2 linked regions of the Rattus norvegicus genome follow. The protein of the gene in region 1 interacts with the protein of each later gene in a pairwise test. Links are inferred from orthologs where the notes say so. Each region holds a gene or a part of one and is shown on either strand. Other genes may lie near its edges. The genes, in order: Wt1 and Wtap.

Region 1 (4,602 bases):
GAGTCCCCGAGTCTGCGCTGCGAAAGGCACTACTTGCCTACTGGTTCTTTTCTCCCTGGATTCCACTGCTTTAGGAAACCCAAACCAACACAAACCAATCCCCAAACACCTGTTCTAAGACGAGGGATTCTCAAACAGCTACAAGGTGGAGGGAGGAACTGGTTTTGAGAAGCCACTCTCTGGGAACTCCTTGGGCTAGCAGCGAGAACAAGCCTCTAGCCAAAGGCAATGGAGCATCTTCTCGGCGCACTTCTAGGTTAGCCTAACTGGTTTGCATCTCCTGATCAATCACCGCAGGTCCATTCTCATTCCCTCATCACTAGAGGAAGCCGTGCTTGGTGAAGCAGCTTTGCTTCTCCGTTCCCGTTTCTTCTCAACAAGGCGCCAAAGTTGGTTCTGGACATTTCTGCTAGGCGCCCCCCTCCCAGGGTACTCCCCAAAACAGCTGCAATTTTCCCAAGTTAACATAGGGTTTAAATATTCCTTGCCAAAAAAGGCCAGTAAGTGTTGTCTATACTGTAGGCAGCAACCACCCTCTGGGTTCCAACCATACCAAAGAACCAACCTCCAGATAACCCAAACGGTCCCGTTTGTCACAACTGACGTCAGACTTCATAATTACCGGTCCCGAACAATTTCACCTTGAATCTCAACCTATGAACCCGGAGGGACCAACCTCCGAAAGTGACCCCACGGTTAGGCTCTAGAGTTCGGAACATAGGGGGAGATAAGCCTCAAAGTTAGGCTATCTGCCTCAGAACCTAGGAGAGTTCTCTGGGCTCTCTGGTTCCCGCCCTCTTGGAGCCCACCTGCTCCTCCCTCCACCCCACCCTCTCTGATTAACAACCCGGACTCTTCTCTCACCGCCGTCCGACGCCGAGGGGACTCACTACTTACCTAGAGGGCCTTGCCTCAAGGCGCCTACACTCAAGGCTAGCAGGGGAAGCAGGGGGAGGCTTGCCATACAGGCCAGCTGAGAGCACGTGGCGGGCCAAAGAGGAGGGTGTCTCCGAGAAGAACGCTCCCTCGGGCCCGCCCCACACCCCAGAGGCGAGTAACCCGGACGAGCAGCGCGCTTTGCTGAGCTAAGGCTGCTGTGTGAATGGAGCGGCCGAGCATCCTGGCTCCTCCTCCTTCCCTGCTGCCTGCCCCTCTTATTTGAGCTTTGGGAAGCTGGGGGCAGCCAGGCAGCTGGGGTAAGGAGTTCAAGGCAGCGCCCACACCCGGGGCTCTCCCGCAACCCGACCGCCTGCCCGCTCCCCCTTTCCCTTTCCCGCCCTCCCTCCCACCTAGTCATTCACCCACCCACCCTGAGAGAGGACGGCAGCCCAGGAATCCGGGCCCGCCGCCTCCTCGCCGCGATCCTGGACTTCCTCCTGTCGCAGGAGCCGGCTTCCACGTGTGTCCCGGAGCCGGCGTCTCAGCACACGCTCCGCCGGGAGCCCGGGTGTGTTCAGCAGCCGGAGCAGCCTGGGGACCCAGGCCCGCGCAGCACCTGGGCCAAGTCTAGCGTCGAGAGTCCGCAGGATCGCAGGAGCGGAGAGCCGTCCGCATCCGAACCGCACCCCATGGGTTCCGACGTGCGGGACCTGAACGCGCTGCTGCCCGCCGTGTCCTCGCTGGGCGGTGGAGGCGGCTGTGGGCTCCCTGTGAGCGGCGCGGCGCAATGGGCGCCGGTGCTGGACTTCGCGCCTCCGGGCGCCTCGGCTTACGGGTCACTGGGCGGTCCCGCGCCTCCTCCCGCTCCGCCGCCACCTCCGCCGCCACCCCACTCCTTCATCAAACAGGAGCCCAGCTGGGGCGGCGCCGAGCCGCACGAGGAGCAGTGCCTGAGCGCCTTCACCTTGCACTTCTCCGGCCAGTTCACCGGTACAGCCGGGGCCTGTCGCTACGGACCCTTCGGTCCTCCCCCGCCCAGCCAGGCGTCATCCGGCCAGGCCAGGATGTTCCCCAATGCGCCCTACCTGCCCAGCTGCCTGGAGAGCCAGCCCTCCATCCGCAACCAAGGTAAGGATTCCGCGCAGCACGACCTCCACGCGCGGTAGTAGCTCCGCGACTTGGCCCCAAGCCGCTCCTCCCCTCCTCTCTTCCTTCTTGATGCCAGTTCCTATCCAGCTGCCTTCCAACGGAGTCTGAAAGTAGCGGGCAGAGGGGAGTGGGCTCTGTCAAATGCTAGCGACACCGCACCATCACCACCACTTACACACTGCTGAGCACGACCCCAGATAGTTCGCAGGACCCGGGAGGACATCTGGGACCCCTGGGTGTCTTAGAGGTTTCGGGACTCCACCGGAGGAGGAAGAGTGGATTGATTGTAGCGCGTGACTCCACACGGGAGTGGGGGGAATCTGGTGCATAAGGCCTCACCAGGCGTTGGCTTTTAAGACGACTAGTGTAGACGGACTAAGTAGAGCATTCCGAGTGGGACTGGCGTTTAGAAACGCCCTGTGACAAGCCCGAAGAGCTGACCTGAAGATCTTCCAGTTCTCCATAGGCTCTGGCTCATTCCAGGCCCACCATGAGCAGCAGAGAGCTTTGGAATGAAGGATTAAAACTTTGGGGAACCTAGTCTGTATTCGCGTGTACCTTGCGGAAGAGGTAGCACTGTTGATCTCCTGGATCGAACTGGAGTTCGGTAGTTCGGAGGCCGCGGGGATGGGAAAACCATCCTGGCCGGTCGGTCTCCAACCCATATGGAATCAAATCTCTGGTGCGAGACTGTGAAAAGGTGGCCTTCTTCCTTTCACTGCTCCTTGGGTGTTTCCTAGTCACGTACACCGAAGTTAGGCTGGGGAATGATTTCATAAGGCTTTGGATGTAGAAACAAGAACAAGTGTATTGGCGGATCTTCAGTTAATATACGAGTCTAATTTTTAATTCTCACAGGAGCCCCTACACCTCTCTTTCGTTAGCACCCTGGTGGAACCATGGTTCCTAAGCCGCTGTCGCTTTCTTCGTTTGTTCTCATTTGATTTCTTTGCTGTTGAGAATCGAATTTCGTTTGAGTGGATGTTTTAGGAAAACCTTTTCTGACACATGCTTTTCTTGGGCCAAAAATTCTGATGTCCTTGATCTGGGTGTTTTTGAAATGTGTGGGAAAGGGGGAAGGAGAGCCCGCACCCTTAGGGGAAGATGCAGAAGGTGCCCAAGGTCTCTCCAGGGCCTTTTGAACCCAGCCTGGAGCCGCTCGACCACCCGAAGCCCTAGTGAAACCGAAACCACTGAAGAACAGGGACTTGAGGAGAAAATTGGAGCGGACTGGGGGTCCATTTTAGGTCTTTGGTAAATGAAACTAGAGTTTTGAACTAGAGATGTTGGGGGAAGAACTTGGTGCCTTCGCAGAAGCTCTTGGATCTTGCCATCACTTTCTAGTAGGTAGGTGTTACCTTTGGCAAACCTCCAGGTCACTTTGCTCGCCTCCAAGAGGAGAACTGAGATGGACAGCCAGGAGTTTGGGTTAGGCCAGAAGTTATAGGCCAAACAGGAGGAAATCTGACCAGAGTGTAAATACAGAACATACAATCCGACCACACCTCCCTGGATCAGAAAAGGAGCCACTGTCAAGCATGTGTATGTCGAGAGTGAGCATGCCTGTTATTTGGAGAGGCTCTCACAGACCTATAACCCCCCTGGCCAGCAAATTCTAATGGACCACTATCTTTTTGAGACTTTCTAGGCTCCCTGTGAGGCTTAGCACTCTGTGCTGCGCGTCTAGTAGAAGAAACCCATTGTTGAAGGTGGGTGGGGCTGAGAATTTAAATCGGGAGGGCATTGCCAGTGCACTTGAGGTGTTAGGGGTGGGCATCCAGATTCTTCTGGAGTAGACAGGTCAGGCTACTACAGAAGCGAGAAAGCTTGGAAAATGAGAACTGGCGAAAGCTTCCCACCACACCAGCTCTTCTCAAACCAAGAGAAGGCCAATGGGGAGATGTCTTCCGTGCAGGGACATACCCTGGAAGCAGGTTCCCGTCAGGAAACTTGGCTTTTTCTTTCCTAGTTAAAAGGAGTGGGTCATGCAGGTGGCCCCTGTGGGTTCCCTTGCCTCCTGGGATCTGAAGTGGTGAGCATGGAGCTGCTTACCCACCCCATCCCCCAAGGCAACTAGGAGGGACCCTCAAGACCCGAAGTTCTTTGAATATTCATTCCTTTATTTTAGGAGTTCCTATGGATCCTTTCAGCAATGTAGGATATAGTTTGGAGCTTTTGCTTAGGAGAAGTTGTCTTCTGTCCCTGGAAAGTGTGAACATGGCCACCAGCTTGCTCCAGACTCGGCTGTCAGAGGAATTCAAGCTATCTCTGGTTACCTGTTGGCAAGCCTGGGAGAGCAACTGTGACACTTTCCTTCCTTCCTTCCTCCGTTTCTTAAGGACATTCACACACACAGCCATTTCTTATATAGCTGACATCATAATCTTGTAAAGATTAATTTAGCAAAAAGCAAATCTTACTCGGTGGGGTCAGTGGGGTTGTAGATTACCGATTAAGACAGCTAGTGGCTATAGGAATCTTCACAAGAAGCACTGAGATCTAAGGAGCCTCTTAACACTGGGAGCCTAAATCCAGTCACTCAGAGATTAGGGTTTTAAGAGTCCTCTTAGTTCG
Region 2 (4,469 bases), on another chromosome or scaffold:
TCTTTAAAAACAAAACAAAACAAAACAAAACAAAACAAAAAAAAGGCAAAACAGAAAACCTCAAACACGAATAATTTGGCAAACTTCCAACAGGTTAAAAGATGACGGGCTTTTAAATTACACAAAGGGGGAAGGAGCAGCTGGAGAGATGGCTCAGAAGTTAATACTGACTGCTCCTTCAGAGGACCTGGATTCGATTACCAGCAGCCACACTGTAGCTCATAACAATTCTAACTCCAGACGTACGACAAAACACCTATAACTTTAAACTTATTTGTGTAGACAGTTCAGAGAATTCATCTCAGTTTAGAATGCCATCCACTCTTAAAGCCTAGCTTAGGCTGTGGAACTGCTTTAGTTGACTAAGTGCCTACCATCCCAGATCATAACACTATGATCCTAAGTTAGGCAACTTAGTACTCTCTGGAGAAAGGCAACCACACGCCAAGGTAAGTTATGCAAGAAGGCATGTATATGGCTCGCTGAAATAAATCACAGTGGATGTTAAGAAATGGCATCGTCTGGCAGTGCTGGAGCCTCAGCACTGCAGGAGTAAGGGGACTTGTTAGAAATCAGAACACTATTTCAGTCTCCTGTTTATGTGATCAAGTCACTTAATTCTTTGGGCTTCAGTTTCCACATCAGTGTTGCTTAGGGCACAAAGTACTGCAGGTCTGTTATTGGTACCATAAAAACACTATACAAACAAGGACTGCCTGAACACAATCAACACAGGAAATAAACTCTACCAACTTCATCTTTAAAGCAAAGAACACTGAATCTTGTCTGATGGAAATGCCTAACACCTAACACCAATAGCTTATTCAATGATGGGAATACTGGAAAAAAAAAAACTTCCCAAGCTTAATGAAAAGAAATAGGAAGTATTTAGAGGAAGAAAGTGGGAGATAAAAACAAGAATGCATATCAAGTAAAACTTCTAAAGAGCATGATAAATTTAACTACACCTTACACCAATTATCTAGGCGGCTAACAATATTTTCAAGAGTCTACATTATATACACAAAAAGACAGGAGGGACCTTGAAAATGGTAATGCTCTGTCCAAATACATCAAATGGCTATTACAAACCATAATTTAAGTAGTGTTCAAACACACTCATCTGTTTAAGAATGAAGAACTAAAGCACCCTCAGAAACACATCTGCCCAAATCCTTAAAATTCAGTTCCAACACATCAGAAGCCATCCTGTAGACTGCAACTTTCCCCAACTTGCCTGAGCAATAGTTGCTGAATGAATGAAACCTAGCCACCTCAAAAAATGTCTGTTTTTAATAGTTTCAGATGCCTACATATTTACCTATGAGAAAACCTGGTGCATGGTTTTAAAATTAAGTACTTTTAAAAATTTTTTGTAAATGTTTTGCATGTATGTATGTGCATCACGTGCATGCCTGGTGCCACCCACAGAGGTCAGAAGAGGGAAGTCAAAATTCCCAGGAACATGAGTTAAGGATGGCCACGAGCCATCAATTGGGTGCTGGACGAGCAAAAAGTACTCTTAACTCCTGGGCCAACTCTCCAGCTCCGATGCTCAAATAAATAAGTTAAAGTGAAAAACAAATAGAATTTGTAGTAACTGATTTGTGACTTCCACTTATCTTTCCAAATAATAAAATTAACTAAATGAAAAAAGCGAGGCTATAGTGAGAACGACAAAAAAGGCATAAATACAATTTACGACTATAACATGCTCACCGATCCTTACAACCAGTGTGCAGTGTCTTAGTCCTTTGGGGTCAAATTAACTGACTTCCTCATTATCAAACCAAGAACTGTGGGCTCGGGGATTAGATGAATGGCAGAATGCTGGCCTAATAACATGCATGCACAAGGCCTAGCGTTCCATCCCTAGCCGCCCCCGCCCTCCCCAATAAGAAAATATGTACACAAACAGAAAAACTTAGGTCTTTTCTCACTGTGCACTGTCTTATGAAAATCAAGTTTAAATATAGTCAAATCAGCCTTACAGAGATCCAAAACTAGACTAAAAGTTCACGAAAAATTTCAGGAAGCTGTCAAAAAAATTAACTACTCTCACAATGCATACTTATGTAAAAATGGAAGTCCACATGAGAACGTGGCTGCAATGACAAGCTACTGCGTGACGTGAAATTCCTTTTTTTTTTTTTTTAAAGAACCGAATGCATCACTTGGGTCATACAGAACTATCGGTACCTCTAGGTCCCGGGTGACGAACCCTGGAAGGTGGGAGGGGGCGACAGAGGCGGGGAAAGGACAGGCATGGCCAGTCAGCCCCGAGAGGGCGGCCTCCGGCCTCCCCGCCTCCCCAGTCGCGGGAACGCCCGCCTTGTCCCCTGCCGTCAGGAACGGGAGCAGAATGGCTGTGAAACGGTGCAAGTATCCCCACGAGCAGCAAACCGCTCTGACTAACGGGAAGCCAGCGCGGCCGCAAGCCCGGTCGCCCTTCGGGCCTGGAGTGCGTTTCGCCGGGTCCAGGGCGGCCGCGCCTCGCTTCCCGTCCCTGCAGGCCCTCGTGGCCATTCCCGCCGCGGGCCGCACCTACCTTCCCAGCCCGAGGCTGCGCGGGCGCCGCCAGTCACACAGGCCGAGGCCGCGCCGCCGCCGGCCCCCCCCCGCACTCCTCCCGCCGCAGCCCCGGAGATAGCCTTTATTTGCGGGTCTCGCAGCCACAAAATGGCGCTGAGGGAGGAAACCAGGCCCCGCCGTCGGCCCCGCCCCGCCTCGAGTGCGCCCCGCCCCGAGTGCGCCGCCGATACCCCGCCCGTGGCCCACTCACCCGAGACGCGCCTCTCGGGCGCCGCCTCGGTCACCGTGCCCGGTGCCTCCGGCCAGAAGAGACGAGGCGAGGCCGGCCCGCTCGGGGTCTCGGGGCGCGGAGGGGCAAGCGGCTCTCCGCAGCCGCACCGAGACCGTCCGCGGAGGTTCGCACCTGCCCCGTGGGGGCTCTGCAAGCTTAGCCGGGATGGGGAGGGAAGCGGCCGGAGAGAAGGGCGGGCCCGCGAGGTCAGAGGTCACCCGCGAGGCATCACGGGACGGCGGCCGCTGCCGGACACGCTCGGCGGGGCCACCTGCGGCTGCAGCACGGCCTGGGCGGAGGAATCCGAGCCGACGAGCGCGTGATTGGCTCTTCGCTGCAGGCCGCATAGCACAGGATGCTTCCGCTCGCGCTGCCGGAACGCGGAGACAGCAGCTTCACGCCTAAGCGCCCCTCGTCCTAAGTTTGGGGGCCTTAGAAGCCGCCGCTTTCCCTGCGGCCGCCGGCTTTGCTCCTTGTGGCGTCTCTGGGCTTAAGTTGAGGTGCAAGGAAGCTGCGCCTGTGGGACGTTCCAGGGCAGATCGCACACCAGAATCCCGGAGAAGGCAGCAGAGTGAGGATTCTGGAGTCCGAGAAATCACTCCAGTAAGACAGTCGCCTGGATTACAGCAAGAACGGCGTTAGTCTGCAGTCTCTTCAGCACTTCCCAGATGGGACAGTCATATTTAGGTTTAGTCGGTTTTATGAGAGCAGTTAATCCCCAGCGAAGGTGTCCTGGCTGAGATCACTTATAAGTACACAATTACAGTAGAGACCAGATGACCAGAGGAGCCATGGTGTTCCACTTAGGCTAAGAGAAAAAAAGGTCTTGGAAAACTAAAGAAAATGGGAAAAGACATGAACAGATGATTCACAGAGAAGATGTCCTTAAATATATCGTAGGAGGAGGATCAACTTTGTTTATAATGGAAATACACATTGAAATCCTGTATCCTGGTAGGGATGCAGTCATTAATAGTTAATGTGTTACTTTGGAATTACTACTGGGCTGAGTGAATAAAGCAATGTGTAGAAATACATATACACATATATGTAGGCACATACTGGGAAGACAGAAGGATATTGCAGAAACTTAATACTTACTCAAAAAGTGGTAATGGCTATAGGAGATAAAGGTAGAAGCAAGGCTTCTCTGAGTTCAAAATTTATGAAGACAAAAGGTAAAAACCCTTCAAAGTCAAGTAAATTGAAACGAACCAATTGACTCTTAAGCAGTTTGGCAGTGGAACTGAGACATAGACAAAGAATATATATAGCTACAGTGTTTTGAGTTTCACACTCTGGCACTGTGCCTGTGGATACCTAAGAATCACTCAGTTTCACTAAGTGATTTGTAATTATAACATTGTTGCTGTGGTTTTGAAGTTATGTTTATTGTAGTACAAACATTTCAATGTTACTTTCTCCAAAGATTTCTAGTGTAAAAGAAAATAAGATACAGGGCTGGAGAGATGGCTCAGCGTTAAGAGCACTGGATGCTCTTCCAGAGGTCCTGAGTTCAATTCCCAGCAACCACATGGTGGCTCACAGCCATCTGTAATGGGCTCTGATGCCCTCTTCTGGTGTGTCTGAAGACAGCCCCAGTGTACTTATATATAATAAACAAATGAGATACAAATACAAAAACCAAAGAAGTTCAGAAGCACTA

The links.
Region 2: the proteins of Wt1 (region 1) and Wtap interact in binary tests that used the Homo sapiens proteins (3 or more experiments, as listed by UniProt). The link is inferred for Rattus norvegicus from reciprocal best matches to the Homo sapiens genes WT1 and WTAP.

What each region holds. Positions count from the first base shown.
Region 1 is NC_086021.1:112,020,456-112,025,057, forward strand, and holds the start of Wt1 (Wilms tumor protein homolog), read left to right. Parts: upstream 1-1,553; 5' UTR 1,554-1,568; coding exon 1,569-2,007; intron 2,008-2,015; exon of another isoform or gene 2,016-4,602. UniProt on the Homo sapiens protein: Transcription factor that plays an important role in cellular development and cell survival. Recognizes and binds to the DNA sequence 5'-GCG(T/G)GGGCG-3'. Regulates the expression of numerous target genes, including EPO.
Region 2 is NC_086019.1:50,069,471-50,073,939, reverse strand, and holds the start of Wtap (pre-mRNA-splicing regulator WTAP), read right to left. Parts: upstream 2,968-4,469; 5' UTR 2,783-2,967; intron 2,683-2,782; exon of another isoform or gene 2,549-2,682; intron 2,507-2,548; exon of another isoform or gene 2,200-2,506; intron 1-2,199. UniProt on the Homo sapiens protein: Associated component of the WMM complex, a complex that mediates N6-methyladenosine (m6A) methylation of RNAs, a modification that plays a role in the efficiency of mRNA splicing and RNA processing.